Linked DNA regions of Saccharomyces cerevisiae S288C. The gene in region 2 interacts genetically with the main gene of each other region. Each region holds a gene or a part of one and is shown on either strand. Other genes may lie near its edges.

Evidence for each region.
Region 1: mutations in EAF5 (region 2) and VPS72 together harm fitness more than expected from each alone (negative genetic interaction), as found in Saccharomyces cerevisiae (7 studies listed by BioGRID, with this or other methods).
Region 3: mutations in EAF5 (region 2) and HTZ1 impair growth when combined (synthetic growth defect), as found in Saccharomyces cerevisiae (7 studies listed by BioGRID, with this or other methods).
Region 4: mutations in EAF5 (region 2) and RRP6 together harm fitness more than expected from each alone (negative genetic interaction), as found in Saccharomyces cerevisiae (5 studies listed by BioGRID, with this or other methods).

Annotation. Positions count from the first base shown.
Region 1 is NC_001136.10:1,421,592-1,430,846, forward strand, and holds VPS72 (Vps72p), read right to left. Parts: upstream 5,617-9,255; coding exon 3,229-5,616; downstream 1-3,228. Other genes in the region: alpha-1,2-mannosyltransferase KRE2, read left to right, coding at 1-894; VPS52 (Vps52p), read left to right, coding at 1,172-3,097; VPS60 (Vps60p), read right to left, coding at 5,840-6,529; 3,4-dihydroxy-2-butanone-4-phosphate synthase RIB3, read right to left, coding at 6,763-7,389; PAC11 (dynein intermediate chain), read right to left, coding at 7,597-9,198. UniProt on the Saccharomyces cerevisiae protein: Participates in the catalytic exchange of histone H2A for the H2A variant HTZ1, an euchromatin-specific factor, leading to chromatin remodeling and changes in transcription of targeted genes. Indirectly involved in vacuolar protein sorting.
Region 2 is NC_001137.3:117,634-125,138, reverse strand, and holds EAF5 (Eaf5p), read right to left. Parts: upstream 3,669-7,505; coding exon 2,829-3,668; downstream 1-2,828. Other genes in the region: nucleotide diphosphatase/phosphodiesterase NPP2, read left to right, coding at 1-402; GTT3 (Gtt3p), read right to left, coding at 469-1,482; PMP2 (proteolipid ATPase), read left to right, coding at 2,210-2,341; SUMO ligase MMS21, read left to right, coding at 3,838-4,641; PXP1 (putative indolepyruvate decarboxylase family protein), read left to right, coding at 4,840-6,522. UniProt on the Saccharomyces cerevisiae protein: Component of the NuA4 histone acetyltransferase complex which is involved in transcriptional activation of selected genes principally by acetylation of nucleosomal histone H4 and H2A. The NuA4 complex is also involved in DNA repair.
Region 3 is NC_001147.6:301,523-308,727, forward strand, and holds HTZ1 (histone H2AZ), read right to left. Parts: upstream 2,462-7,205; coding exon 2,057-2,461; downstream 1-2,056. Other genes in the region: E3 ubiquitin-protein ligase HRD1, read right to left, coding at 1-1,513; PLB3 (lysophospholipase), read left to right, coding at 3,827-5,887; RCL1 (rRNA-processing endoribonuclease), read left to right, coding at 6,416-7,205. UniProt on the Saccharomyces cerevisiae protein: Variant histone H2A which can replace H2A in some nucleosomes. Nucleosomes wrap and compact DNA into chromatin, limiting DNA accessibility to the cellular machineries which require DNA as a template.
Region 4 is NC_001147.6:322,849-331,716, forward strand, and holds RRP6 (exosome nuclease subunit RRP6), read left to right. Parts: upstream 1-3,983; coding exon 3,984-6,185; downstream 6,186-8,868. Other genes in the region: palmitoyltransferase PFA4, read right to left, coding at 1-146; IZH2 (PAQR-type receptor), read right to left, coding at 563-1,516; PHO80 (Pho80p), read left to right, coding at 2,401-3,282; ALG6 (dolichyl-P-Glc:Man(9)GlcNAc(2)-PP-dolichol alpha-1,3-glucosyltransferase), read left to right, coding at 6,569-8,203; putative subtilisin-like protease YSP3, read left to right, coding at 8,607-8,868. UniProt on the Saccharomyces cerevisiae protein: Nuclear-specific catalytic component of the RNA exosome complex which has 3'->5' exoribonuclease activity and participates in a multitude of cellular RNA processing and degradation events.

The DNA.
Region 1 (9,255 bases), on a different chromosome or scaffold from region 2:
AACAAAATTAACAAGAAATTCCCATATCCTTGGGTTTTCCTAAACGATGAACCTTTTACTGAAGAATTCAAGGAAGCAGTCACCAAAGCTGTTTCTTCCGAAGTTAAGTTTGGTATTTTGCCCAAGGAACATTGGTCATATCCTGAATGGATTAATCAAACCAAGGCTGCTGAAATTCGTGCAGATGCTGCCACCAAATACATATACGGTGGCTCCGAATCTTATAGACACATGTGTCGTTACCAATCTGGGTTTTTCTGGAGACATGAATTATTAGAAGAGTACGATTGGTACTGGCGTGTGGAACCAGACATCAAGTTATACTGTGATATTAATTACGACGTTTTTAAGTGGATGCAAGAAAACGAAAAAGTTTACGGCTTTACCGTTTCTATTCATGAATATGAAGTGACGATCCCAACACTATGGCAAACGTCCATGGATTTCATCAAAAAGAACCCCGAATACTTAGATGAAAACAACCTGATGAGTTTTCTTTCGAACGATAATGGTAAAACATACAATCTGTGCCATTTCTGGTCAAACTTTGAAATTGCAAACTTGAATTTGTGGAGGTCACCAGCCTACAGAGAGTATTTTGACACTTTGGATCATCAAGGTGGATTTTTCTACGAAAGATGGGGCGATGCTCCCGTTCATTCTATTGCTGCTGCTTTGTTTTTGCCAAAGGATAAAATCCATTATTTTTCAGACATTGGTTACCATCATCCACCTTATGATAACTGCCCATTGGACAAGGAGGTCTATAACAGTAACAACTGTGAATGTGACCAAGGTAATGATTTCACTTTCCAAGGTTACTCTTGTGGTAAGGAATATTATGATGCTCAAGGGTTGGTAAAGCCAAAAAACTGGAAAAAATTCCGTGAGTAGAAATCTTGGAACATACTGTTTCTTTGTTTTGACTTTATACTTTCTATTTATATTTTATTTTTATAACTGGTTAAGTACACATAGGACTGCGTATCAAACATATAAGTGAGGCAATCCACATTTTTTTTAAAGATTCGAATATTTTTATTCTCATTAGCGTATTCCGAGAATAGTTCGAAAAAATATAAGGTATATCAAGAGTTTTTACAAGTGAGAGGAAAGAGGAATAAGCTATAAGCAACAAAAGCGTAAAAAAATTAGCTGAAGACATAGAACTATGGATGTTCTCAAAGAGGTGTTGTCACTAGACCAAGATAAATTTGACCAGCTGAAGGAAACGAGCCGAGATAAAACAAATGAAACGGATGATCCTTTTGAAAACTATTTGAAGGATTGTAAATTTAAAGCGCCTTCAAACAAAGATCAGTCACCATTTGCTAAACTTAAATCATTACAGGAAACTCATTCTAACAATGAAGCGGCTATTAATATAATTATTCCTCAATTGATTGATTACTTAACCGAATTCACTAATAGGTTATCAAATTACACACAAGATTTAGACTTCATTAAAAAAAAGTCCAATGAATTACAGTCATTGCTCGAATACAACTCCACTAAACTGGCACATATCTCTCCTATGGTTAATGATTTGATGATTCCTCCTGAACTCATTGATGACATCATTAAAGGGAAGATCAATGAAAGCTGGCAGGATAATATAACATTCATAGCAGATAAAGAAGAAATTTATAACAAGTATAGGTCCAATAATCTCGATCAAGACAACAAGGACGCAGAAAATTCAGCAATGCTAGCACCAAAGGATTTTGATAAGTTATGTCAACTCCTGGACATCCTAAAAAATGTTATTCTAGAAAGGTCGAAAAGACTTATTATTTCCAAAATCAAAACTTTGAGGAGTCATAACCCAGTACCATCGCAAAGGATACAAAACAAATTATTAAAAGTTCAAAAAATTTTCCCCTTCATAAGAGATAATAATCTCTCCTTAGCCCTTGAGTTAAGACAGGCATATTGTTACACAATGAAATGGTATTATAGAGAATACTTTTCTAGATATATCAGGTCATTGACTATTTTGCAATTTCAACAAATCGACTCGCAATTTGCATTGGGTAATGGCCTTTCTACAACTTCAGTGAGTGGGTTTAACAATTCACCATCATTGTTTTTCTCAAATTATCTAACTACATCCGCTTCAAATGCTTTCTATAATAAACTCCCTGTAACAGATGAGAAAATTGATAAATACTTTCAGATAAAGAAAAGATTGAACATTTTAACACAAGAAGACAATACGGTAATGGTATCCCAAATTGCAGAAAATAACACAACGAAAAACTACATTGAAATTGGATTTAAAAATTTAAACCTTGCAATTTTAGATAACTGTACGGTGGAGTACCATTTTTTAAAAGATTTCTTCGCTATGAATGGCGATAATTTTGAGGAAATTAATGGTTTATTGGAACAAATATTTCAACCAACTTTTGATGAAGCCACAACATACACTCAACAACTGATCCAATATAATTATGACATTTTTGGTGTATTAATAAGTATTCGTGTGGCCAATCAATTACAATTTGAATCAGAAAGGAGAGGAATACCGTCTATGTTTGATAGTTTCTTGAATGGTCAATTAATTCAATTATGGCCTCGATTTCAGCAATTGGTCGATTTTCAATGCGAGAGCTTACGAAAAGCGGCAATAACTACAAATGTGGCAAAATATGCCGGCAACTCAAGCACATCCAATAGTAGCCCTTTGACCTCACCTCATGAGTTAACTGTACAGTTCGGTAAATTTTTATCAAGCTTCTTGACGTTGGCAATAACACATAAGCAGTCCATAGACGAAAGATCTGAACCCTTATACAATTCCATCATTAGATTAAGAAATGATTTCGAAACAGTCATGACAAAGTGCAGTAAAAAGACGAAATCACCAGAAAGATTTCTGGCTACAAATTACATGTATTTATACAATAACCTACAGCAATTGCATCTACATTTAAATATAAATGACTCGGATGCACAAAACTACAATTTTGATTCTGCTGAAAATGTTGGTACGAAAGTTGCGAATGACGACGATAATGATTCAAGCGTACCACTAATAATCAGAGAGACCGAAAATCATTTCAAAACTTTAGTTGAAGCTTTCACCAGAAATTGATGAATGTAACGATTGTATAAGACATGGAGCGTATAAAGTATATTTTTATGTAAAATGATCTTTATGATTTCTTATTTTGTGTGGAATATAGTCAAATGTTTAACGACCTACCATTATATAGTCTGTCTCAATTAAAATCCTTCAGGAACACCTTTTGCAGGTCTTTGACTTAAATCAAGGTAAATACCGCCGTTTTTGAACCCAAACCACTTGAATCTCACTTGATCGTCACTATCCTCATTTGTCGTTTCATCACGCTTGATATCTGACCTTCCCTCCTCCTTAGAAATAGGATCTTGAATCCGCTGAATAATTTTATAAGCTTCCACATCAGAATAAGGCACACCAGTCCTTGGATCAAAGTACTGACATTCTTTATTTGTGATTAAACATTTTTTTCTTATACCATTGGCTAAGAAGACACCCGTTGGAGGCTGTGTTTTAATTTTGATTTCCAAATCCTTATTTATCTCTGTGTTGATTTGATGGACTATTTTCTTATCGTATTCCCCAAAAGATGGGAAATTTGCCAGAGCTGACAGATCAAGTGATATATCTACGGTAGGAGACGGTACTGAAGACTGAGGAGGTGATGGTAAAATGGAGTGGAAAACAGTTTTCATATCTTGTGGACGCTGAGTGGCGGATAACCCATTTGTGTATGACCATCGATCACCAAATAAGTTTGTGTTAAAATCTTTTAGATTTGGAGGAGCATTAGGAAAATCATAAAGTGTAACAAAGTTCCTTGAGGTTAATTGCTCAGGCCCTTCGTAGGTCTGTGTTGATAAAGAGTTTTCCGCGGAAGATTCATCAACATTAGCTGTATCTTTTTTTGAGGGTGACTCTTCAGTATCGATTATGGCCACTTGCGGATGGTCGGTAAACGTTACTTGTTTCAAGAAAGAAACATCAGTATTGCTTTTGGTCTCTTGTGGTACATTATGAGATAAGTTCTCGATGCCTTCGGTTTTCAGACAAGGTTCAGGCTCTCCTTTTATATCCGTATCCGGAGAGATCAATATAGTATCTTCAGTGCCAGTGGAGTTTGATGGTGTAGGTGTTGCAGAATTATCCCTTTGTGAGACCACTTGGGCAGCAGGTGATGAGTTTTCAAAAGTATTTTCCCTGCTCTCGAGAGCACTTACCATTTCATCTTTAATTTCTTCATTATGTAAATTTTGTATCGGTTCGCCTACATTGGTAATTTTTTGCTCATTAGTTATTATATTCTTTTGTGGTTGGCTGTTGGGAGCTTCATCAACGGTACTCTGCTTGTTTGCAATTGCGTCCAATGTAACATCAGGTAATGCTGTTGGCTTTAATTCGTCTGAATTTACTCTACTCACCGCTGCATCTGGACTCGATTCTCCTTCAACTGTATCGTTAGTAGAAGTTTCCTCAATCCTTTTCTGGTTGTGTACAGATGAAGAATTCTCACCCAAAGAATTCACGTCGCCATCGTTCTTTATCGATTCTTCACTCTCCCGCTTTTTATCATCTGATGCGTCCTGTTTTCCGAGATTTAAATTCTTCTTTGGCTTCCTCGGATATTTTTTCTTCTTCTTATCACGTTTATTCAATTGTTCCTGCCAATATTTACGATCTTCTAACTCCATCGCTGGCGTCATTAGCCAAGCAGTAGATAAAAATTGCAGTATAGTCTCATTTGGCTGGAATTTCTGCTTTTGTCTTTTCTGCAAAGCTAGACGATTCTCCTTTTTCCAAACTTCTTGTTCCTTGAACTTATCCAGTGACAAAATATTCAGCTTCTCAGTCTCCTTGGCAATCCGTAGCCTCTCTTCTTGTGTCAGCATATGCTGAGACTCCTGCTCCTTGTGTTTCCTTATTCTTTCTTGTATAATTTTTCTCTTTTTTTCAGCTTTAGACAATTTCTCATAAACTTTCATCGTGTTTTCCATTACCGATGATCTTTTAGAAGTTCTCCTTGTATTTAATAGTAACGTCTCTGCGTTTAATTGTTCATGGGTATGGTGCGATCTTGGTATAGCTTCTCCTGACTTAGGCTTAGGTTTTTGTTTTTTGATTACAACGGGACCCTTCTGTAATCTCTTGTTTCTTTTCTTTCTTGAAAGTAGTTCTTGTCTTCGTATTTCCTTTTCCTCTGCATCTTCATCATTCTCGTTGCTGGAGTCCTCAGATTCGCTACTGCTGAACATTAAGTCATCGGCTGCTTGCTCACTTGAAGCCTGAGAGGGCTCTTTCCTTATACTTTGAGTCTCATCTTCTTTTTCTTCCCCTTCATCATCGTCATCTTTTGCCATCATTTCGAAATCTTCATCATCTTCATCTTCCTGAAACAACAGCCCTATTTCATCTTCTTCATCATCATTACCATTCTTATAGGAAGAAATTTGTCTTTTGGTAGATTCTATATCTCTTAGCTCCTGCTCCAATAGTTTTTGTAATTTATTACCGGCATTAGACCTCCTAGATCGTGTTTGTATAATAAATTCTGTGTTAGTATCTAGACTTTTATCAGCACCTTCATCACTCATCGTGCACTGTGAATTTGCTTCGGTTTCACTTCTATTTGTATTCATTAGACTACATGGTGCTTTCTGCTTACTGTTTTTTCCATCAGGATTTTTTTAACAAAGAAAAAAGAAAACTACTAAAACCTAAATAAGGTACATATTTTGGCTTACCAGCAAAGAGAATATAAAGAAAAGGGAAAGGAGAGAAAAATTCTGAATATGCAACTTTGTGTGCTTTTTGTTTTCACTGAGCGCTTTCTAAAGCTTTATTTTTGTCTTCAGTATCTAAGTTTGGCTCTTCATCAATAAAAGCCGGTGGCGCATTCGCACCTAGTAAGTAACTGGGCATATCGTTACCTAATGAGTTTTCGCTGGTTGGCAAAGTGAAATCCTCTTGTGCCAGAGCATCCAGCTCTGCATCCAGCTCTGCATCACTAATGTCGTCGAGCTCGCCACTGTTATTATTCATTGCCAAGACTTCTTGCAGCTCATCCCCTTGTTCTATTAAATCCAGCATCTCATCCTGCATGTCCTGTAGTTTGTCGATATTTATCTTGCCGTATTGAGCCTTCATGGCATTGTTTGTTTGCTTTAGTGCGTTTATAGTGATCATTGTGTTCTGTAAGTTATCATTTGTTAACTGGGCTTGCGTCATGGACCAGGATTGAGAATCTAAAGAATCCTTCATATTTTCTAACTGTTTACGTTTATTTAAAATCTTCAAAGCCTGTTTTCTTAACGAGGGTTGCTTGTTGTTTGATCTTTGCAAATTCTTTTGAATATTTTGCAGCTGGAAGTTTAACTGGGCGATTTGAGTATCTAACTGGGATATTCTGTTCGATAGTGATTGTTGGGCCTGATTCATGGACTGATTCGACTCTTGTAAGAGCTGATCATGGCTCTTTTTGTTCCCATATCCGAAAATCCTGTTCATAATTGCCTTGAAGAGTTTATAACTGTGTTTCAACCAATCTTGGCTTCCTCCTATTACTACTTTTTTTAGATGTACTTTTTCTCTTGCTAAAAATCCCATATTTTTGTATGGCTGAAAAACATAGAGGAAGAAAAAGGTCAAAAAACAAAAGATATATACAAAGTTACAAATATATACATGTATATATGTGTGAGTCTGTTGTGATAGAATGAATGGAGAAAATGTTCACCAGATTATTTCTTCAAATATTGGGCCAATTCTTCGATGGAGATCAAAGGAATGCCATGTTTCTTACCAAACGCTTGGCAGTCATTTAATCTCATCATAGTTCCTTGTTCGTCATCGTTAACCAATTCGCCAATAACAGCGACGGGACTTAGTCCACTTAGTTTACACAAATCGACACCGGCCTCAGTGTGGCCTCTTCTCTGCAAAACACCGCCATCAGCGGCTCTCAAGGGACAGATGTGCCCTGGTTTTAAAAATGATTTTGGCGTAGAGGAAGAGTCTGCAAGAGCCCTACAAGTCATCGACCTGTCGTGAGCAGAAATACCTGTGGTAGTGCCTTGGGCTACATCTACAGTTATTGTGTATGCAGTTCCATGCCTGTCGTCATCATTGGATTCAAACTTCATGCCTGTTCTCAGTAGTGGAAGGTCCAACTTATCAGCAATGGCATTCGTCATAGGTGCACAGACGTAGCCTGAGGAATGGCGTACAAGAAAGGCCATTTGTTCAGTGCTGACATTTTCAGCAGCGCAAATAAGATCACCTTCATTTTCACGACCGGCATCGTCCATAACAATTACAAACTTATTCTGCTTGAAGTGTTCTATAGCTTGATCAATTGGTGTAAACATTTTCGACGTTGCCTTTTCTTCTTTTCCTTTCCTTTTTTTTAGCCTTCTGCTTTTTGTTGGAGATATTTACATTCACCTCACATATATACGCCAATGAAAATTTCACAATAGCACGTATATTAATAATAGCCTTGCTTTTTTTTATCAATTCTCGCTAAGAAATTACTCATCAGGCAATAACCTATGCTCACCCGCCTCGAAGCGGCGTTAGGAGATAACAGTGGCCGTGTAGAGGGACGTCTTAGCATCGAAAGCCCAATTTACAACAACGAGGCGACCATCTGCACACCACACTTGACACCGTAGAGTGCGACTATTTTCCCCTCCATTGTTTTTTTCGAGCCAGCGTGCACGTAGTACGGGCCCCCCTAACAACAATGGCGCCCCTATGATAGCTTTCCCTGCTCGCGCGTCCCACAGCCGCACCGTCCAGTCCGTGGAACATGATAATAGAAGCATTAGCCGCCGAGCATCGTCCCAATGAAACTCTAACCCGGTTACCCTCGTAGAGTGGTTTTCTGCAGGTTGGAACCCATTGTTGTCCAAAGAGAGGTACAGCGGCCCAGGTTGGTCCCAGAAAACCTTGTATATACCACCGTCTTCGCCACCGATCCAGACGTACTGCGGGTCCTCACTCGTGTACGCCATGCAAGCTATACCTACCTCATCAAACTTTGCCAACCGCTGCAATCGCTCCGTATATGTGCAAGTATCATTCTCCAAAGATAAAAGCTGTGATAGCGGTACAGGACGGAGCTGCTGTGGCTTCCGCAAAACAGTCAAGTCCAGGCAGCTCAACTCCATAATATTGCCATTATCAGCTGCCACAAGTACTCTCTCTTGATCTTGCACGCTGCTTGTTTCAATTACAGCCACCACTGGGTGCTGAAAGTAGTGTCTTGCCACCATATTTCGCTGCACGACATACACTACCGGTGTTTCTGGCTTTTTCTGTTTCAATCTAAGCTCGTACAATATGATCTTGCCCGTCAAGGTCGCCAACAAGATTGATATTACATTGCTTTCCGGATGATACCGACGGAGGATCGTGGCTGTCATGATCCGCGTACCACGGAACTCTACCATATCTATCAAGAGGCCGTTGCGTCCGCTGGCATTATCGCACTTGACTACATTCACCACAGACCACGCCGCTTCGCTGCTAGCATACTGTAGGTCTGCCGGCGGCAATCGTAGATAAACCACAACCAAGACGCCTTTTCCTGGGTCATACTCCTGAGCGATACAATCGCAGTCTGTCTCTGATTGTAAATTCTCACTGACCATGTTCCATTGCATGAGGTTGTCTTTATCCTGTTGCATGTTCGATGGCGCCTGCTGGCCTGACGCAGAAACCTCTGTCTCCAGCCGCGCAAAACTAGCGTTGCTCAGCGTTGCCGCCGCCTCTTCAACAAGAAAAGGTTTGGCTAGTTCTAACCTTGGCTGGTCGTTTTCAGCTTTGTCTTTATTATTTTCGTCGGCAGCAGTAGTTTCAATGGCGACAGCATCAGTAGTGGTGTGATTTTCATTTTCTTGCAGTTGTTCTTCCTCAATTTGATCTGTTTGAATGCCTTTGTCGTATGTTATAACCTCCTTACGTCGAAGATATGCAGATTGGGGCTCTTGAATCTTTGAGCCTTCCTCCATGTCGGTCTGCACTGAAACGCTGACCATGGTTGCCTTAGCGTGCACCTCTGTGGGATGGTGGCCCATCGTCTCGCTCCCAGGGAACAAGCTGGCTTGTTTTCGCCTCTCACGCAGCTCTTTCAATTGTCTCCTTTTTTCCTCCAGTTGCTTCAATCGCTCCATCTTAATGTTTCAATCCTTCTTCCTCTTTGGTTGATTAACCAACTGTGATGCTCTTTT
Region 2 (7,505 bases):
GACTTGATTGAAGCTCAGTTAGAGAAAGCATATGGAGATGAAATATCGAGGAAGTTTCACGTGATCCTGAAAGAAGATTTCGACCCGAGCTGGAAATATTTCCAATACGATAACAGAAAGCACAGATATGACGATAGGGTCGGCGATATCTGGATTCTCGCAGATGAATACTACGCCATTGTAAAAGAAATGGGTGATGTGCCTATCGGCATTATGGGCACACATGGATACAACTTTAACAACTGTAGTGATATGGCATCTATATTCATTGGAATGGGTCCGATGTTCAACAATGAAGTCGTACCTCCATTTGAAAACATCGAAGTATACAATATGCTGATCAAGGCAAGTGCGCTTTTGGGAGAAGAAAAGACAAAGAAGGAGAAGAGTTTATTACAATAATACAGAGTAGTAAATACACACTTCGCGGCTTACGTACGCGTGTGTATACGTATGTAAGAAAATATACTATAATACGTATAGAGTGAGGAGACAACTAACCATGGAGAATACTAGAGGTACCATACCAAGGGAACGGTTCACTGTACAGAGTTGTGTCCATAGTTGGTTAACACATCGAAAAGAATGGAAATCTATGTTTTTATTATTACAAGTTTTGAAGATTGCCAAAGAAATCAAGAATTTCGTGAGATTGAAAGTCATCGGGTCCAACTCGATGTTCAGGTCGTAGCGGATGAAGTTGATGTAGTATGACACTAACGTTGGAATACCCCTAAAGAAGAGCAGCCACGTGAGTATTGGTAAACAGAAATCGAGCGTGTATTGATATTTATTATGGGCGGCAACGGCGGCTTCCAGCGACGATGCGAGCGAAGAAGAAGAAGTTGGCTGCCCGGCGGCTAATATGTTTCTCACCAGAAAAGAGAATTCCAACAAGGAAAAAATCGTATCGACGGCGGAAATAGTGGAAAGATAGTCCTGAACATTTTCATTCAATTTCTGCGTTTGGTATCTAATATCGGAGAGGTATTCCTGAAAGTTAAACTTGAACTTAGTAAACGCAGAGGTGGACGAGTCGTTATCTGTGCTAAAATCCAACAAATTGAAGTTCGTTTTGGCGTTTGAATTTGCATTCCTGCTGGAAAGCGGCTTTGTCGCGCTTGTTTCATCGCCTGATTGCGGTTTCTCATCATCATCCTCCTTGATGTACGCTTTCTCCAGATCGGAATCATTTGTGGCGGTGTCACAGGATCCAGACCCAGACCCGTTTCCAGATCCGGATCCGTATTCGTTCCGTTCATCCTTTGACTGGTCCACTGTCATCGACTCATAAAAGGACCTTAGTTCCGGGTAGTCGTCTTTAAAATCCACAGGTTTCTCAAGATGATTCAAGTGCGATTCGAGGTAATCGATCATATCACTCTTCTTGGCATAATTGGGGAAGCCGTCAATTTCCAGCTTGTTGGCCAGGTCAATTAGGTCCGCCTTCTTCCAGCGACTAAAAGTTGACTTGGTCGGCATATTGTATTATAATGATCTGTGATGGGCTGTAATGCACTTTCACTTTTGTTTTCTCCCCTTGTATATAGATATTTTCGCACGTTGTTTACGTATTGTGTAGTTCTTTTTGTTATGAGTGACGAATGCACGCAAGTAGCGCGCAGGAAATTATCATCATATACGTATATCATCATATACGATTTACCACTTTTAGCACATTAACAGCTCGGGAAAGAGTTTCGGAACTCGGAAAAAGCACGACAAACGAGGGCGAGCCACTAAATTACCGCAATCCTACGACCACAGCAGCCCGGGCCCTCTCCAAAACCGCGCTCTAGCCCGCTCTGCTTACTCCCTGTGCAGCGCCGCCCGCGGTAGCACTGGCCAACACCCTGACGCAACTCGTCACCACGCTGTTGAGCTGTTTTCGAAATCCGTCCGCAGCCCTCCCTAGCTTTTGCATCAAAAAAAACCTCTCGCTATTTTTCCGGCGCGGATACTTAATTTCCTTAACGAATTACAGAACTTTTTTCTCTCTTTCTCTTCCACACCTTTTGGTTTAAATAAACAGTGAAAAAAACTAAAATTCCGTAATCACAACTCAATTTCCTTTCCTTCCTCTTGGTTAATATAAAATCAATTCTTCTTCCCTTCCAGTTTTTTCTCTTTCGTCCTTCCTTCTTCCTTTCTCTTTTTCTCCATCGTATACATACAAAACAATAAATAGTACAATAACAATTATACAAAGATGTTGATGAGCACGTTACCAGGTGGTGTTATCTTAGTTTTTATTCTAGTCGGTTTGGCTTGTATCGCCATCATTTCTACCATTATCTACAGAAAATGGCAAGCTAGACAAAGAGGTTTACAAAGATTCTAAGCGATCACTAGCAAGCCAAACGAGCTTGATGTTGTTTTCTCTTAGTTATCCTCTTTTTTTTTTTTTTTTCAATTACTGAATATTAATGAATAAATTAGACCTCTTTTCTCCCCAACCCTTTTAATTTCTAATAATTAATTAATTTTTCCTGTGTGTGTGCTATATTCCTACTTTGTATCTGTGCTGTTCGATTCCTCTGTTGGAACGATGTGATTTGCGTGGGCGTTTTATCGCAAAAAAGTTTTGGGCATGCGGGCGTGAATGGATGTTGTTTGCCGTGTGTGGGCAAATACACCCTGCTCTTCGTTTTGTTTGTCCCGTTCTTTCCCATTTTTACCTACCTACTATGTTTTTTTTTGAGAAACATGTCGCTTCATTTGTTATATATTGTTCTGTTAAAGAATTGTGTGTGTATTTTTTTAATAAAATAGTATATAATAGTAATGTTACAAGACTTTAGATTTTCGAAGTGTCGCCTACTATCTCCTTACTCTAGTGCTCTTCTCATGAACTGCACCGTATCATCCAATTCAAACTGCACTTGTCTAGCCAATTTCCAGTCGTCCGTACCAATGACCTTTCGCATTACACCGTCCGTTATGCTCTTTTGAAGAATCAGCTGCAGTTCATGAACGCTGCCGGGCGTTTCGTTCTTTATGTCTTCGTAATTTATCTCATTCTTGATAATGCTACCATCGGGACTCTTGAATAGCTTCTGAAAATTCCCAGTTTTACTTTCCAATTTATTCAGAACGGTATCTCTGTATAATTTCAATAGTTTTTCTCTTTTTGGGTCCATTGAATGCGCCATGTGTGGCGTAGTCGTAGTTATAGTAGCACTGGTACCAGCAGATCCACTTTTGCCAGCATTTGCATGTGGTTGCAGTTGCGATGCACCGGTCTTTATACCGTTCTTCAATATCTCATCCTCCATCATCCTTATTTGTTCGACCTGCGTTTTCTTGAATCGATCGTACTTTTCGTCAAGGAGCTTCTCGATATCATGCATTTCCAAACCGTGTAGACTAAGTTGTCCATCGTTTAGTGTTGTTCTGTACTCTGGGAATAAATTCTTAACTATGGTCAGGATATCGTTGATGCCCAGTTTCCTGTTTCCATTTGCCACGTTGCTTTGCCTTCTTAAATTTGTCAGCTCGTTGATTAGCAAATTGTTTTGTATTTCGTTAGTCAACTTGACTAGCGATATTCGAAGATTATTCCCAATCATGTTGATTCCTCCCCCGTTCCTAACCAGTTCTTCATTCTTGTTGGAAATTAAAGTGTGTATTAGCTGCAACACTACCAATTCACTTACCTCTTTATCCATCTATGCGTTCCTTTGATTCTGGTTACTCCGGCACGCAGAAGTATCTTTTTACCAGTGCTTCTCTGGTTATTTTCTTCCTCTTTTCCTGTGTAGAAAAAAACTTGCTAAAATAATCGTGTCAGTTAAAGAAACCAAGGCAAGACTATATAAAAAAAGAATAACTTTAAAAATGGCCTTGAACGATAATCCTATACCCAAGTCAGTTCCTCTACACCCAAAATCAGGTAAGTACTTCCATAATTTACATGCCCGAGACTTATCAAATATATATCAACAATGCTACAAACAAATTGATGAGACCATAAATCAATTAGTGGATTCTACATCTCCTTCCACCATCGGCATTGAAGAGCAGGTCGCAGATATTACTAGCACCTACAAACTCCTCTCGACATACGAATCGGAATCCAACTCATTTGACGAACATATTAAAGATTTAAAAAAAAATTTCAAACAATCCTCAGATGCCTGTCCGCAAATCGACCTTTCTACCTGGGATAAATATCGTACCGGAGAACTCACCGCTCCCAAATTATCTGAATTATATCTAAATATGCCCACACCAGAGCCTGCAACCATGGTTAATAACACAGATACACTCAAGATACTAAAAGTGTTGCCGTACATATGGAATGATCCAACTTGTGTAATACCGGATCTGCAAAACCCCGCAGACGAAGACGATCTACAAATAGAAGGTGGTAAAATTGAATTGACTTGTCCTATCACCTGCAAACCTTACGAAGCACCATTGATATCAAGAAAATGTAATCACGTCTTCGATAGAGACGGCATTCAAAACTATTTACAAGGATACACGACAAGAGATTGCCCGCAAGCAGCGTGTTCTCAAGTCGTTTCAATGAGGGATTTTGTAAGAGACCCTATTATGGAACTAAGGTGTAAGATCGCCAAGATGAAAGAATCTCAGGAACAGGATAAAAGAAGTAGTCAAGCCATCGATGTTTTATGAAAACAAAATTATTGTTTCTCTTATCCGAGCCCTTCGGCCCGAAGTTCAAGCAAAGCTAACTAAAGAAAAAAGTTGGAAATTTACAAAAGGTTGGTATATAACCACATTATATATAAAGGAAAAAAAAGGCATTGGTTACTTTTATGTGATAAGAAGAATATACTCTCTACATTCAAACCGTCACAACCATCCATCAATATGACCACGACCGCTACCCAACACTTCGCTCAACTTTTACAAAAATATGGCATCGACACAGTCTTTGGAATTGTGGGCATCCCTATTGTCCAACTAGCGGATACGATGGTTGCCAACGGTATCAAATTCATTCCATGCAGGAACGAACAGGCTGCCTCATATGCAGCCTCTGCTTATGGTTATATTAGTGATAAGCCCGGCGTGTTACTTATTGTCGGGGGCCCCGGTTTAATCCACGCACTGGCTGGTATATACAACTCAATGAGTAATAGGTGGCCTCTTCTAGTAATTGCAGGGAGTTCTTCTCAAAGTGATATACATAAAGGCGGGTTTCAAGAGTTGGATCAAGTTAGTCTTTTGTCCCCATTTTTGAAGTTTACCGGAAAGTTAACCCCTGACAATATTGACATGATTACTCAGAAGGCTTTGAATTACTGTATACAAGGCACTGCAGGGGTTTCTTACATAGACGTCCCTGCAGATTTTATTGAGTATGAAAAACCCTTAGAAGGAAACGACCGTACAGGAAATGAATTACCGATGATATTAACTCCAAACATATGTGGCCCTGATCCGTCGAAGATCAAAAAAGTCGTACAGCTTATTTTGCAACATAAAAATAAAAATATTCTGATTGTTATTGGAAAGGGTGCGGTAAAAAACTCACACGAAATCCGCAGACTAGTAAATACGTTCAATCTACCATTTTTACCCACCCCAATGGCTAAGGGAATTGTCCCAGACTCTTCTCCACTGAACGTTTCATCTGCAAGATCTCAAGCATTGAAAATAGCGGATATTGTTCTTGTTCTCGGGGCAAGATTAAACTGGATATTGCATTTTGGTACTTCACCCAAATGGAACTCAGAATCCATATTCATCCAGTTCGATTCCAATCCCGAAACCTTGGGGGATAACAATGTCTCACCTGGTGCTGACCTTTCCATATGGGGAGATATAGGCTTGAGCGTAACCGCTTTAGTTGAGGAATTGACTCGCCAAGATTCCTGCTGGAAGTATAGTGGTGTTAAGCAAGAAATACGAGAGAAAATTCAACTGAATCAAACTCGTCTATTGAGGAAAGAGAAGACTAGAGGGGCACAATTGAATTACAACCAGGTTTATGGAACATTGAGGCCTCTTATCGATGATTACAGGACAATACTTGTGACGGAGGGAGCAAATACTATGGATATTGCGCGTATTTCATTCCCTACAGACGCTCCAAGGCGCCGTTTAGACGCAGGGACCAACGCGACTATGGGGATTGGGCTCGGATATGCTCTTGCATGCAAGGCATCTCATCCGGAACTCGATGTGGTGCTGATTCAGGGTGATTCCGCATTTGGATTCTCTGCCATGGAAATTGAAACGGCAGTAAGGTGTCAGCTGGCATTGGTCATCGTTGTGATGAACAATAGCGGTATTTACCATGGAGAAAAGGATATAGAGGGTGATTTACCTCCAACGGCACTAAGCAAGAACTGCCGTTACGATCTCGTAGGCAAAGGACTGGGTGCCAATGATTTTTTTGTCAACACAATAAGCGAACTGAGCAGATGCTTCCAACAAGCCGTGCAGCTTTCTCGGACTAAAAGAGAAACAAGTGTCATCAACGTTATCATTGAGCCTGGCGAACAAAAGCAAATTGCCTTTGCCTGGCAGAATAAACCGCGTTTATAGTAAATATGCATGTATATATATATATATATATATATATATGTTCATCTCTCTTATAGATGTCAATCTAAATACTTACAACACACATTAATGAATACCTCGTATACGTTTAAGGGCAAATGTACTCTCGCAGAAGGAAATATTGCAAGTAACTTGGATAACTAAAGCCGAGTTAAAGATCTGCCAATTGAACATAACATGGTAGTTACATATACTAGTAATATGGTTCGGCACACATTAAAAGTATAAAAACTATCTGAATTACGAATTACATATATTGGTCATAAAAATCAATCAATCATCGTGTGTTTTATATGTCTCTTATCTAAGTATAAGAATATCCATAGTTAATATTCACTTACGCTACCTTTTAACCTGTAATCATTGTCAACAGGATATGTTAACGACCCACATTGATAAACGCTAGTATTTCTTTTTCCTCTTCTTATTGGCCGGCTGTCTCTATACTCCCCTATAGTCTGTTTCTTTTCGTTTCGATTGTTTTACGTTTGAGGCCTCGTGGCGCACATGGTACGCTGTGGTGCTCGCGGCTGGGAACGAAACTCTGGGAGCTGCGATTGGCAGTGGAACAGTGGTAATTCCTACGATTAAGAAACCTGTTTACAGAAGGATCCCCACCTATGGGCGGGTTATCAGATATTATCAGGTGGGAAATTCGGTGGAACACAGTGGAGCCTTGTCCTCCGGGTTAATGTCGCTTTTGGCATTGGCCCCTGCTCCTGAGAGAAGAAATATACTGGGGAACCAGTCTTTACCGACCGTTGTTATCAGAAATTCACGGAGTTCGGCCTAGGTCGGACTCCGATGGGAACGGCAACGGTTGTTCCGTTTGACTTGTCGCCCGCTACGGCGTGAGCGTCAAGGTCTGTTGAGTGCAATCGTAGGACGTCATTAGTGGCGAACCCGATACCGATTACTGCTGCTGTTCCAGCCCATATCCAACTTCCAATTTAATCTTTCTTTTT
Region 3 (7,205 bases), on a different chromosome or scaffold from region 2:
TCAAAAATTCGTAGGCTGATCGGCTTGACCCAACAGAATTATCACCAGTTTTATGTAATGGGAACGTATACCACGTAGGAGATGGTGTAGAGGTTGACCTTGTTCTCATTGCTAATGTGTCTATATTTTGAGTAGGCACTATCCTTATATCAGGGGAAGTTGTTCTTGTGGGAAGTAGATCTACTTCGTTTGCGAAACCTTGTTGATCTGTCGCTATCCCAGTGCTATCTGTTACGGTGGTCTGTGTCGTGATATCACTATTGGAAGTGAAAGTCGTTTGCACAACATTACCTTTTTCATCAAAGACAGGCAATCTACAAATAGGACAAGTCTGAGAACGTTCCATCCAATTCTTTAAACACGACAAATGAAGTATGTGGCCACAAGGTAACCTTTTGGGTTTCTTGTTTTTATTCTTCCACGTCTGCTGGTTTGGAGAATGTATTAACTCATCCATACAAATGATACAAATATTGTCATCATTTGCAGAATTTTGTAGCTGTTCTACGGTGACAGTGACAAGAGTGTCGTCGAGCTGTTTGTTATTTCTCCAGATTTTCCACAAACTTGTGCCACTTTGATATAGTGCCAAGATATCCCACACCACATCTTTCAAAAGCATCATAGGCATCCTAAATGGTATTAGCATAGACAAATGAAGTGCCGTTTTTAAGAATCTTGTGAATACGTCAATTGCTTTTTCATACATGAATTTACCCTCCAGGCCGGTAAATTGTCTATCATCATCGTCGTCATCGTCGTCGTCATTCAGCACTGGCTGAGATTGATCAGACTCAACCGTGTTTTCATCTGTAGGATCGCCATGGACAATATGGTTGTTCTCATTAGACAGACTTTGTTGTGAGCGATAAAATTCCCAGAAATTCAAACAAGTCTGTAGGAATAAATTTAGCAAATCAATCAAAAGCATGGTAAACTCCATTACTTGTATCAGGTAAAGGGATGTGGATTCAATATCACTCTTTTGGTTTGTATATATGGAGGAGATGCATCGTGTTATTATCTGGTAGTCTACAACCGCCAATAGTACGAGGTTAAATGAGAATCTACTAAAGATAAGGGTTTTCATTGTGGTGGAATCATTTATTGACTGTAATAAGGCCTCCAGCCTATCCTTTAAAATCCAATGGAAAACTTTCAGATAGAGTAGTAATAGTCCAAAAAATGCCACTGTGAAAAAATACCGTTCGTGGAACAGTGAGGACATAAACAAGGTGTTTATAATGGTAAATGGTAACCTTTCAAAAATGTGCTCATGCTCAATAAGCCTCAGTTCACCAAATAATAGTTTCGTTAGGAGTTGCCATAGTAAGGTAGAATTTAATAAGATGAATATCGACAAAACCATTAGATTGAAGCCTTCATTTAGCTTCAGTGTTACTTGCAAAAAGGAAACGCTTGTCTTGGTGGCTGAATACACGCAATAAAATGTGAGCAAATATGTGACAACTACAAAAATTGCCAACTGTTTCCTTCTATTTTCTGGCACCATATTATTATTTTGTCTTTCTCCCCTTCTCTTACAAATTGCAATTGATAGATGATTTTCTGGTTATAAAAAGGAACCAACAAATCGGTAGAAAGTCGACAGTATAACTAGTGGTGAAGCTGTTATTAGAAATGGTAGGGGGGTTTTTTTTTTGTCCTGTCGGCACGTATGGAAATTTATCGTCTATTAAACCTTTTCTTTGATTTGATTTCTACAGTGTACTTTTGTAGGTGTCCTTAATTTCCATTTTTCCGGGTATGCAAAGTTCAACAAAAAGAAAGCCCTGACCAAATTTCTGCGTACATAACGGCTACTGCGCTATCGTTGGGAATATTGTGTGAGAGTATATTTTCATGCTATATATTATAGTAAAAACATAAGAGATTAGACGTGAAAGGAGAGATAGATTACATATATGTATGTATATAACTCGGGTACGGAGAGACAAATTTCAACTTATAATAATGATACAGACGTTAATATGGATAGAATGAGGATACAGGAGCAGGGAGAATTACGGGAAATGGGAAAGAAAAACTATTCTTCTTATTTCTTACTTCCCTTTTTTTCCACTTTCAATAATAATGCTTTATTTATATGAGGCAAAACACCACCTGAAGCAATTGTAGCCCTGATCAAAGAATCTAACTCATCGTCACCTCTAATGGCCAATTGCAGATGTCTTGGGGTAATCCTCTTGACTTTAAGATCCTTGGCTGCATTACCAGCCAACTCCAGCACTTCAGCAGTCAAATATTCCAACACAGCAGTCAAATAAATGGCAGCTTTGGATCCTACTCTTGTTCGGCCGGTAGCGTGCCTTTTCAGGTAACGCTTAATCCTACCGACAGGAAACTGCAAGCCAGCCCTTGCTGAAGAAGATTGAGATCTCAATGAACCACTGTCTTTAGCGCCGGATTTACCTTTACCTCCATGAGCTTTTCCTGACATTATGTTAAGTTATTTTTACGTGCGGCTATAGTGCGAAATTGAATTTAACGATATTTTTTCCGACTGAAGTATAATAGAGTCCGCAGTGTTTTTTAGTTGGGGGTTGTGACTCTATTACACTGGATAATAGTTCAGCTGTTAAATAGAGCTGTATGCTTTATTTGTTGTTTTTTTTGTTTTGTTGTTTTCGTGCACGGAGCGAGCGCGGCGGGTTACGGAACACCAGCGGCCAGTTCTACGAGTAGTAAGTTACGGGCGTAAAGTTACTGTGTGCTAATCTAGCATGGATGCATTCAGTAAACCTTTTCAATTGAGTCTAACGTTCTCTAAAGAAAGAAGAATACTGCTATTTTAGGTATGTGCTTACTACCGCTTGTGCGGACCTGCCCTGATTCCAAGGTAAGAGACAGTGATTCTTGTCCTAAGCTCTTTTCTCCGGGGCGGGCGGGCGGCTGGCAGACATATTGATTGCGGGTAACACCTCCGAGGTTAATTAATCAAGCAACGTGCGGAGTTTTATCACATGGATGTTTCTTATCACCGGGTGCGCGCCACGCAATATATAAAACGGTAAACATACGCTGTTGCAAGGCAAGACACAACAGCGGCAAACACTTCAGAGAATACAGACGATAGTCATCAGCACTCCTAATAATCGTATAATGAATACTATACGAAGCTTTGTGCGTTGCAAAAAGAGCATACCAGGCGAAGAGAGCGCAGTTAGTAGGTGATCGGGAAATTGCTGAGTACAGTTGTTTGCCTCCTGTGATACCGCGTCACATGACCATTTAAAAGTGTCCATAATGTCATCGGTAACGTCACACTCACATGAGTTTTCCTGACTTCAGCCTCCTTCATCTCGCGTTAATACGCCAGCATCGCGCACCATATTACTGCCCGCGTAATCCAATTCCTCCTTTCGTTCTCAATGACTAAAACGCAAATCATTTTTCCTTTTTTTTTGAAACCGGTGGACGCCCCATAGAACTTCCAAATCAGGAAATACCGCAACTTCATCCGTTTTCGTTTCGCTTTAGTCCTCCACGAAAATATCTTGCCGGTTCCGCGAATGTTGTACTGGTTCTTCTGTGCAATGAGCCTTTTTCTCTTCTTTCTTTTTCCCTGCTTTTAAGATGGCTTGGCTATGGAATTACTCAATTTGGCACTTCTTTTGCAAGATCCAGACTTGCAGGGATTCTATCACCATTATTACCACACTACTATGTTATTGTTACGCTTTTCATCCACTTTTATATAAGTTATACGTGGTTTTACGAGTTCTAATATTTCACTTTTCAGCTTGGAATACGCCGTTTTAAGAGGACTAAAAGCAAGGAAATTACACACATAATAATATAAGTAATGATACGTCCATTATGTTCAAAAATTATTATCAGTTACATATTCGCAATTTCTCAGTTTCTACTGGCCGCTAATGCGTGGTCGCCCACAGATAGTTATGTTCCTGGCACCGTGTCGTGTCCCGATGACATAAATCTGGTAAGAGAGGCTACGTCTATATCTCAGAATGAGAGCGCATGGTTGGAAAAGAGGAATAAAGTCACTAGTGTAGCTTTAAAAGATTTCTTGACTAGGGCTACTGCAAATTTTTCAGATAGCTCAGAAGTTTTGTCGAAGCTATTTAATGATGGCAACAGCGAAAACCTGCCGAAAATTGCTGTCGCCGTTTCAGGTGGGGGCTATCGGTCCATGCTAACAGGTGCGGGTGTTCTAGCAGCAATGGATAACAGAACTGAAGGTGCTTATGAGCATGGGCTGGGTGGACTTTTACAAAGCACAACATATTTATCTGGTGCCTCGGGCGGCAACTGGCTAGTTGGTACATTAGCCTTGAACAATTGGACATCCGTGCAAGACATTCTTAATAATATGCAGAACGACGATTCTATTTGGGATTTGTCAGATTCTATTGTTACCCCCGGCGGCATTAATATATTCAAAACAGCCAAAAGGTGGGATCATATCTCTAATGCTGTCGAATCTAAGCAGAACGCCGATTACAATACTTCTTTGGCCGATATTTGGGGCAGAGCCTTGGCGTATAATTTTTTCCCTTCTCTAAATAGAGGGGGTATAGGCCTGACTTGGTCTTCCATTAGGGATTTCCCAGTGTTTCAAAATGCTGAAATGCCTTTTCCAATTTCTGTTGCGGACGGTAGGTATCCTGGAACAAAAGTCATCAATTTGAACGCAACGGTTTTTGAATTTAATCCCTTTGAAATGGGATCCTGGGATCCCTCTTTGAACTCTTTTGCCAACGTTAAGTACCTTGGAACGAATGTCTCCAATGGTGTACCATTGGAAAGGGGAAAATGTACCGCAGGCTTTGATAATGCAGGTTTTATCATGGGTACTTCCTCCACCTTATTTAACCAGTTTCTTTTGAGAATAAACTCCACTCACTTACCTAGTTTCATCACAAGATTAGCAAGACATTTTCTAAAGGATTTATCTCAAGATTTTAATGATATCGCTGTTTACAGTCCTAATCCATTTAAAGACACGAAGTTTTTGGATAGTGACTATACGACAAGTATTGTTGATTCAGACAGCCTATTCTTAGTTGACGGCGGTGAAGACGACGAAAATGTTCCTGTGTTACCGCTTATACAAAAGGAACGTGATGTGGACATTATTTTTGCGGTAGATAATTCTGCCGATATGAGATTGGCTTGGCCTGACGGTTCTTCTTTAGTCCATACCTATGAGCGTCAATTCGTTAAGCAAGGTCAAGGTATGTCCTTCCCATATGTTCCAGATACGAATACATTCGTTAATTTGGGTTTGAACAAGAAACCAACCTTCTTCGGTTGCGATGCTAATAATTTGACCGATCTTCAATATATTCCACCTCTAGTTGTTTATCTGCCAAATGCAGAATACTCTTTCAATAGTAATCAGAGCGCGTTCAAGCTATCATATTCCGAATCCCAAAGAAGAAGTATGATTCAAAACGGGTTTGAAATTGCAACTAGGAACAACTTCACTGATGATCCTGAATTCATGGGCTGCGTCGGCTGCGCCATCATTAGACGTAAGCAACAAGCTTTGAATATTACTTTGCCTCCGGAATGTGAAACCTGTTTTAAAAATTATTGCTGGAATGGTACCCTGGATACTACCCCATTACCAGATGTTGAAAAGGATGTTCACCACTCCTTTATCAACGTCAATAGCTTCAACAGCTCCATAGGACAAGAAGAAAGTCTTTACGCCGGATCTTCAGCTTCCCAGTCATCGTCTTCATCATCGTCTTCATCTTCGTCTTCGGAAATTCCTTCGGCTACTGCAACCCTTGAGAAAAAGGCAGCTACTAATTCTGGATCACATTTATCTGGCATAAGTGTAAAGTTCTCTGCTATGATTATGCTTACTTTATTGATGTTTACCGGAGCAGTATAATATCTCTTGCGTAATAACGGTATACAAAATGAGGCAATAAAAATCAAAGAACTACACTATAAAATAACGAAACATAAAGCTGAAAGACTAGCAAAATCACTAAAAAACTAAAATAAAAAAAGAAAATGAGCATTTCCCCTTTGCATTGAAGTATCATCCCTTTCGGGCAAGACCATGTTTAAGGAACTTCACTAATGACATCGGAGGTCTATATATAGCAGACCTCTTCTTTAAAAGATATAACTTTATAATTATAACCCCGCGCAAAGCGTATTAATACTTTAAATGGGTAGTCAAGTTGCTTTTATTACTTGCACTTACTTTGAAGGAGGATGTCAGAATTACCCTCGCCATATTGGTAATGTAATTTTTCACGGACTCGAGATTGAAAAAATTTCAGAAAAATTTGCAAAAAAGTGCCGATGAGATGAGCCTTCATAAGCTACGTATGTTGTAAGGGTATAACATCTGTCAAGCTTCACCATTGTCAACACTTTTCCACTAGGATAATCCTCCAAAAGTATAGCAATGTCATCTTCCGCCCCCAAATACACCACTTTCCAAGGGTCACAAAATTTTAGGTTACGGATCGTCTTGGCAACATTATCAGGGAAACCAATAAAAATTGAAAAAATCCGTTCAGGCGACTTAAATCCCGGTCTGAAAGATTATGAAGTGTCTTTTCTAAGGCTGATCGAGTCGGTCACCAACGGGAGTGTAATTGAAATTTCTTATACCGGTACTACTGTGATTTATAGGCCCGGTATCATAGTTGGTGGTGCATCAACTCATATCTGCCCTAGTTCCAAACCGGTAGGTTATTTCGTCGAACCAATGCTATATTTGGCTCCATTTTCAAAAAAGAAATTTTCTATATTATTCAAAGGCATAACTGCATCTCACAACGATGCCGGTATTGAAGCTATCAAATGGGGACTCATGCCCGTTATGGAAAAATTTGGCGTTAGAGAGTGCGCCCTACATACTTTGAAAAGAGGTTCACCACCACTAGGAGGTGGCGAAGTGCATTTGGTTGTTGATTCTTTGATTGCGCAACCTATAACTATGCATGAAATAGATAGGCCCATAATTTCATCGATTACCGGTGTAGCATACTCTACCAGAGTAAGTCCGTCGCTTGTGAATAGAATGATCGATGGTGCTAAGAAGGTATTGAAAAATCTGCAATGCGAAGTTAACATAACGGCAGATGTCTGGAGAGGTGAAAATTCAGGGAAGAGTCCAGGCTGGGGTATTACTTTGGTTGCTCAGTCCAAGCAGAAAGGTTGGAGTTATTTTGCAGAAGATATCGGTGATG
Region 4 (8,868 bases), on a different chromosome or scaffold from region 2:
ATTGACAAACAGAACTCAAATGTTATTTGTTTCGGAACTGACAAGAAATTGGATAAAATAAAGTAGTGTGCACCATAGCCTATAAATGAAATCAGAAACGTTGGTATAGCAATTCCTAACCAAGGCCACCTTAACTTTACTGGCATGGTTTAACGATCAACTCAGTTTTTAAAATTCATGTTATACACCATCACCACAATGTAGGGACGATAATTATCGTATCTCAGATCCGCTATTTTTCATAAGCGCGTAGTAAGAGAGGTAGGTTTAACAGGATAATAAAAATATACATGAGACAGCCAATAAATAGTGGAAATAAGCCGTATTTTAAATTGAGAGCTCTTAGTAAGAAAAATGTTCCTCTGAGACGCTAAAGTCGTGTATATTTCATATGAGAAAGTGCACAAATCCTGCTTCCCTTCTATCTGGGAATTTCTTTTCTATATTTGAACATATTATTGTAAGGGCCTTTTTCTTTATTCTCTTCTCACATATAAGAACCATTTTATTATTTTAACTTTAAAACTACTTTCTATATAAATCCTACGTTTTTTCCAAATATCTAGGAGACAATCCCGTTCTCCATCTTTATATGGACTAACTCATAACTATTTAATAAACCTCTCAAGTGGCACAATGCCGCAATAACAACTAGAAAATGGAAAAGTTGGTGAGAATGACCCCAAATATCAAATTTACCGGGGCAAATCTTTTCAGGAAACCGCATTCCATAAAGAACAGCGCCAATTATATATAGGACACCCCCAAGTAATACCCAAAAGAGCTGAATTTGGGTCCAAATTTCTGAAAAACTATAGCAGTAAAGGCCGCTGAATATTGGAATAATTGAGGATAAACCAAAACAAACAAATAGCCCAGCTCTGTAAGGTCTCCACTCTCTTTTCCGAAACTTATCTTTTAGTGACACAATACTACACGCGATCCCAAAGCTAACGGTAATAAGCGCAAATAGGCAAAATAGGGAAAATTTCTCAAAATAGCCGTAGTACAAAATACTGACCATTGACGTAACAATCAATATACAAATACCAAGGTAGTCCAACTTATTTCCTAAGGTAGCAATTCTTAAGGAGTGACTCTTTAGACAATGAAAGGAGCTACTCAATATTAAACATGCAAACGCCCCCGAATAAAAGAGGTCGATTACCATATGATCTAGCCATGTAGTTGTTGCAAACACTTTGATAGTAGATTTATCTAGCAACAGTACAGTGAAGAACCCGAGAGCAGGAATTAAATGTGAATAAATATTGACACTTTCATTATGCAAATAAAACAAACTTTTAAAAGTTTCAATGAAGCTACTAGTTTCTTTCACGTATCCATGTAAAATAAAATCATTGTCTCTTTGCCATTCCGGAATTTCATCCCAACTATATAGCCTTCTTAGTACTTTTTTAGCTTTAGCGACCTCTGCGGGATTTGCGGATGTTTTCCCTGCAGCTCTCTTCTTCAGCTCTTGCACACTCTTAGTCCTTTCTAATAAAGTTGACATTTGGAATGATTCTTCTCCAACATGCAGCATAATTAAAACGACGGGAAATTTAGTACATTTGGCTCAAGGAACGCTGACATAAATACTATTTCTAATCTACTATTCGAAGAGATGTTGGATTTCTAAAAAAAAAAGAGCTCAACAACGGAAGACCGCCTATTAACCCCGAGTGTCTGTTTTTTAGTATACTCGAAGCAAACAAGAAAAGTTTGTTACTTAATTTCTGGCCTAAACAAGGTAGTGCTACCCTAGAGGAAGTACGATATCAGTACACTTTTGTATTTTTAACGAATTATGGTATTCTTTAAAATATTTAACATGCTATCGAGTTTTTCTTTCTAAAATGCGGTTTCAAAATTTGAGTCCGCTTTCTATGGAAAATATGAATGAGGCGAACGTGCTTGTACCATAGTCAGATTTTAACCCGTAGGTGAGAGCCTGAGGCTTCTGTAAACCACCTTGGAAACACATACGGGTTATAAGATTTTAACAAACAATCAGTCTCCATACTCATCCTAGGATCTCTTCTTCATTTGATGAATAAAGGATTCAAACTTCAGAAAGTTATTCAGCGTATATTGGCTTTCCTTTAATCTAATGCCCCAAGCCATCATAAATAGCCATATTACTTTGAAAGTGCTCATCCGTATACACTGCAACTTTTCTTCTTTTCTCTTTAGCCGATTATAGCTCCTACCTGTTTTTTTTTTCTTCTTAAGATTATTTATATTCCAATTTTATCATCCGTATTGTTTCCAATAGCGTTCCAGTGATCAGTTATATACTTCGAGAGGCAGATAACCTTTCTTTTTATAAGTGTTTATCAAATTTAAGTCTGCAAGCTATCATAAGACGAGGATATCCTTTGGAGACTCATAGAAATCATGGAAAGCACATCAGGAGAACGTTCCGAAAATATACATGAGGATCAAGGGATACCAAAAGTAATTCTGCCCGCTGATTTTAATAAATGCTCTAGAACTGACCTAGTGGTGCTCATATCACGAATGTTAGTATCGCTGATAGCAATCAATGAAAATTCAGCAACAAAGAAATCTGATGACCAAATTACTTTAACACGATACCATTCTAAGATTCCTCCAAACATATCAATCTTCAACTATTTCATACGACTGACAAAGTTTTCCTCTTTAGAACATTGTGTGCTTATGACATCACTCTATTATATCGATTTATTGCAAACTGTGTATCCTGATTTTACGCTTAATTCGTTGACTGCCCATAGGTTTTTATTAACAGCCACCACAGTCGCAACAAAAGGCTTATGTGATTCGTTCTCAACAAACGCCCATTATGCAAAAGTTGGAGGAGTACGATGTCACGAATTGAATATACTGGAGAACGATTTTTTAAAGAGAGTAAACTACAGAATCATTCCGCGGGATCATAACATTACGTTATGTAGTATAGAGCAAAAACAGAAAAAGTTTGTCATAGATAAAAACGCATTAGGGTCTCTCGATTTGGATTCTTATTCTTACGTTAATCGTCCAAAAAGTGGATATAATGTTCTAGATAAATACTATCGAAGAATAGTTCAGCTGGTGGGTTCCTTTAACGCTTCACCTGATAAGAGTAGAAAGGTTGATTATGTTCTCCCGCCAAATATTGATATAGTGAGTGAAAGTGGCTCCCAAACTACTCAACTAAAGGGGTCGTCATCACCCAATTCTCACTCTTCACAAAAGCGATATTCTGAGGCAAAGGACGCACATATCTATAACAAGCGATCAAAGCCAGATTAATGATTTTTCGTGGGGTATTATGAAAGCAATCATGATTGAGCAAAATTAAAACTTTCCATTTGTACATATATATATATATATATATATATATCTGTGTGTGTATAATAAGCAATTGGCCATCATTTGGCTAAAAAGTTCAAGATTTCAGGTAGTATATAAGAGAATAACTTCCCTCTTTTGCTAAAGAAGGATATGTTCTATTTCAGCCTTTTTGCATCATAAGAGCATAAGCGACAGAAAACACTTCGAGATGAGCTTGAGAACTCCATTTCAATTAACTTGATAAATACATGTAGATTCATATCATCACTGTTCTTTTCAGATACTAGTTTCAAAACTTCCTTGACAGAACCATTTCATGTTCAATAATGAAAATTACTTTCACATGTTTTAGTGGAAAAATACTGAACAATGAAATTTCAATATCGCATATAATAATTTTTGTTATCAAATATATATTTTTCGGAAGTCATATACATTAAATAATTAAAACATTATTTTTAAAAATTAAAAAAATATATTTTAGCAAATAGTTTTTACTTTTTTTTAAATGCAAAATAAGTTCACGTGATATTATTAATAATATTTTACCCAAAAATATGAGGGCATCGGAAAATTTTTCAGTAATGAATATTAATGTTCATCTGAAGATAGACGAAATAGGAACAACAAACAGCTTATAAGCACCCAATAAGTGCGTTATGACTTCTGAAAATCCGGATGTACTTTTATCTAGGGTGATAAATGTGGTGAGAGCAGCATCATCGTTAGCCAGTCAAGATGTAGACTTTTACAAGAATTTAGACAGGGGATTTAGTAAAGATCTGAAATCAAAAGCAGACAAACTTGCGGATATGGCGAATGAAATAATCCTCTCTATTGATGAGCATCATGAATCATTTGAACTTAAAGAAGAGGACATTTCTGACTTGTGGAACAACTTTGGAAACATCATGGATAATTTGTTAGAAATGTCAGACCATTCGCTGGATAAGCTGAATTGTGCAATAAACTCAAAGTCAAGAGGTTCCGATCTTCAGTATTTAGGCGAATTTTCAGGAAAGAATTTTTCTCCCACCAAAAGAGTCGAAAAACCTCAGTTGAAATTTAAAAGTCCAATTGATAACAGCGAAAGTCATCCGTTCATACCTTTATTGAAGGAAAAACCAAATGCTTTGAAGCCACTCTCTGAGAGTTTGAGGTTGGTTGATGATGATGAAAATAACCCCAGTCACTACCCCCATCCTTATGAATATGAGATTGATCATCAAGAGTATAGTCCAGAAATTCTCCAAATTAGAGAGGAGATTCCCTCAAAATCCTGGGATGATTCGGTACCAATTTGGGTAGATACAAGTACAGAACTCGAATCAATGTTGGAGGACTTGAAAAATACGAAAGAGATTGCCGTTGATCTTGAGCATCACGATTATAGGTCATACTATGGTATTGTTTGCCTCATGCAAATTAGTACAAGGGAAAGGGATTATTTAGTTGATACTCTAAAACTTCGCGAAAATTTACATATTCTGAACGAAGTGTTTACGAACCCTTCAATTGTGAAAGTTTTTCACGGTGCATTCATGGATATTATTTGGCTTCAGCGAGATTTAGGTTTGTATGTCGTTGGTCTCTTCGATACTTACCATGCGTCTAAAGCAATCGGTCTTCCTAGACATAGTTTGGCCTATCTTTTGGAGAATTTTGCCAATTTTAAAACTTCAAAGAAATATCAGTTGGCTGACTGGCGTATAAGACCGCTTTCAAAACCCATGACGGCATATGCTAGAGCAGATACTCACTTTTTACTAAATATATATGACCAGTTGAGAAACAAACTTATCGAGTCTAATAAGTTAGCAGGTGTTCTTTATGAATCAAGAAATGTCGCAAAAAGAAGGTTTGAATATTCAAAGTACAGACCACTGACACCTTCTTCAGAAGTTTATTCTCCAATCGAAAAAGAGAGTCCTTGGAAAATATTGATGTATCAGTACAACATACCACCTGAGAGGGAAGTATTAGTAAGAGAGCTATACCAATGGAGAGATCTTATTGCAAGAAGAGACGATGAATCGCCACGATTTGTTATGCCAAACCAGTTATTGGCTGCACTTGTCGCATATACACCTACTGATGTCATAGGTGTTGTTTCTTTGACCAATGGCGTAACTGAACATGTCCGCCAGAATGCAAAACTATTAGCTAATTTGATAAGAGATGCATTACGAAACATCAAGAACACCAATGAGGAAGCTACTCCCATTCCATCTTCCGAGACCAAAGCAGACGGAATATTGTTGGAGACTATAAGTGTTCCTCAAATCCGTGATGTTATGGAAAGGTTTTCGGTGTTGTGCAACAGCAATATTTCCAAGAGCCGAGCCAAGCCTGTCACTAATTCTTCTATTCTGTTGGGTAAGATTTTACCACGTGAGGAGCATGATATTGCATATAGCAAAGACGGCTTGCCAAATAAAGTGAAGACGGAAGATATCAGGATCCGAGCACAAAATTTCAAGTCTGCCTTAGCAAACTTGGAGGATATCATATTCGAAATAGAGAAACCTCTCGTTGTTCCTGTCAAGCTAGAGGAGATTAAGACAGTAGACCCTGCGAGCGCACCTAATCACTCGCCTGAGATTGATAATCTTGATGATCTTGTTGTTTTAAAGAAGAAAAACATTCAAAAGAAACAACCAGCAAAGGAAAAAGGTGTAACGGAAAAAGATGCTGTGGATTATTCAAAAATTCCGAATATCTTATCTAATAAGCCTGGCCAAAATAATAGACAACAAAAGAAAAGGAGATTCGACCCATCATCTAGCGATAGTAATGGACCAAGGGCAGCTAAAAAGAGGAGGCCTGCCGCCAAAGGTAAGAATCTGTCATTTAAAAGGTGATTATGTAAAACAAGCGTATTTTTTTATTTATAAATTATGGTAATTTTCATTTAAGACCTCTAAATTCATCTAATCGAATATCTGTGTCATGGAGTTATGGCTCCCCCATGCACACCATTTTCTCTTTTTTTGTTTCTGTGTTTCCCTTCATCTCCTTTATTATGAAAAGTACAAGTTTTATATAATTTCAACGTCGGAGGTTATCCGGAAATCTATAGTTGAATTTTTGCAGGATTATACTTCGCTCGAATATTGTGCGTGTTAAATACTCAGCGAGAACAATACTTCCAAGTTAGAAAAGGGATTTGCTCATGTTAAAGCAATGGCACTCCGAATGGACGGTGTCAGGAATTCTTTTCTTCACATCAGGCTTCGCATAGAAAATGGCCATTGGCAAAAGGTTACTGGTGAACAAACCAGCAGAAGAATCATTTTATGCTTCTCCAATGTATGATTTTTTGTATCCGTTTAGGCCAGTGGGGAACCAATGGCTGCCAGAATATATTATCTTTGTATGTGCTGTAATACTGAGGTGCACAATTGGACTTGGTCCATATTCTGGGAAAGGCAGTCCACCGCTGTACGGCGATTTTGAGGCTCAGAGACATTGGATGGAAATTACGCAACATTTACCGCTTTCTAAGTGGTACTGGTATGATTTGCAATACTGGGGATTGGACTATCCACCATTAACAGCATTTCATTCGTACCTTCTGGGCCTAATTGGATCTTTTTTCAATCCATCTTGGTTTGCACTAGAAAAGTCACGTGGCTTTGAATCCCCCGATAATGGCCTGAAAACATATATGCGTTCTACTGTCATCATTAGCGACATATTGTTTTACTTTCCTGCAGTAATATACTTTACTAAGTGGCTTGGTAGATATCGAAACCAGTCGCCCATAGGACAATCTATTGCGGCATCAGCGATTTTGTTCCAACCTTCATTAATGCTCATTGACCATGGGCACTTTCAATATAATTCAGTCATGCTTGGCCTTACTGCTTATGCCATAAATAACTTATTAGATGAGTATTATGCTATGGCGGCCGTTTGTTTTGTCCTATCCATTTGTTTTAAACAAATGGCATTGTATTATGCACCGATTTTTTTTGCTTATCTATTAAGTCGATCATTGCTGTTCCCCAAATTTAACATAGCTAGATTGACGGTTATTGCGTTTGCAACACTCGCAACTTTTGCTATAATATTTGCGCCATTATATTTCTTGGGAGGAGGATTAAAGAATATTCACCAATGTATTCACAGGATATTCCCTTTTGCCAGGGGCATCTTCGAAGACAAGGTTGCTAACTTCTGGTGCGTTACGAACGTGTTTGTAAAATACAAGGAAAGATTCACTATACAACAACTCCAGCTATATTCATTGATTGCCACCGTGATTGGTTTCTTACCAGCCATGATAATGACATTACTTCATCCCAAAAAGCATCTTCTCCCATACGTGTTAATCGCATGTTCGATGTCCTTTTTTCTTTTTAGCTTTCAAGTACATGAGAAAACTATCCTCATCCCACTTTTGCCTATTACACTACTCTACTCCTCTACTGATTGGAATGTTCTATCTCTTGTAAGTTGGATAAACAATGTGGCTTTGTTTACGCTATGGCCTTTGTTGAAAAAGGACGGTCTTCATTTACAGTATGCCGTATCTTTCTTACTAAGCAATTGGCTGATTGGAAATTTCAGTTTTATTACACCAAGGTTCTTGCCAAAATCTTTAACTCCTGGCCCTTCTATCAGCAGCATCAATAGCGACTATAGAAGAAGAAGCTTACTGCCATATAATGTGGTTTGGAAAAGTTTTATCATAGGAACGTATATTGCTATGGGCTTTTATCATTTCTTAGATCAATTTGTAGCACCTCCATCGAAATATCCAGACTTGTGGGTGTTGTTGAACTGTGCTGTTGGGTTCATTTGCTTTAGCATATTTTGGCTATGGTCTTATTACAAGATATTCACTTCCGGTAGCAAATCCATGAAGGACTTGTAGTTACATTTTAACTTATATAACTGTACAATGTCAGTCAGACGCAACTGATATAAAAGATGTGCTCTACAAGTAAAGATTATTTCAACTCTTAAAAATATTTGAAAAATGCACTATAATTTGATCTAAATAAGGTACAGATAATGGTAAGGCAAAACTACTACATTTGGCAGTGAGTATTGTTAGCTTTTCCGCTTATTTTCTCTCCTGGAGTAGCCACCGTTCGCGTCTTCCGAGCAATGGCGAATCTCGAATCTCGGAAGGGCGGCTACTGATAACAGGCACTCATATATATATTATTAGATAAGAGTTTTTTTTGACTGAGTCCTTATAACACGTAACTTATCAAGTTGCTATATTGTAAGTTCAGGTTTCCAATCTGTTCAACCACTTTATATCTTTAAACATGAAATTCTCTACCATCTTACCTATACTTTGGGCAAATTGCTGTCTTTGTATGATCATCCCTGATTTCGACGGGATAGTTCGTTTTATTGAGAATATTGATGGTACTCGCAGTGTAAGAGCAGGAGAAGGTTTGGGACAGCATGATCCTGGAAATTTTCACACTGAACATCAACATGTCGCTCATAAAACAGAGTTTCTTCCTTATCGGTATGTCATAGTCTTTAATGAAGATATTTCCCTCCAGCAGATTCAATCGCATA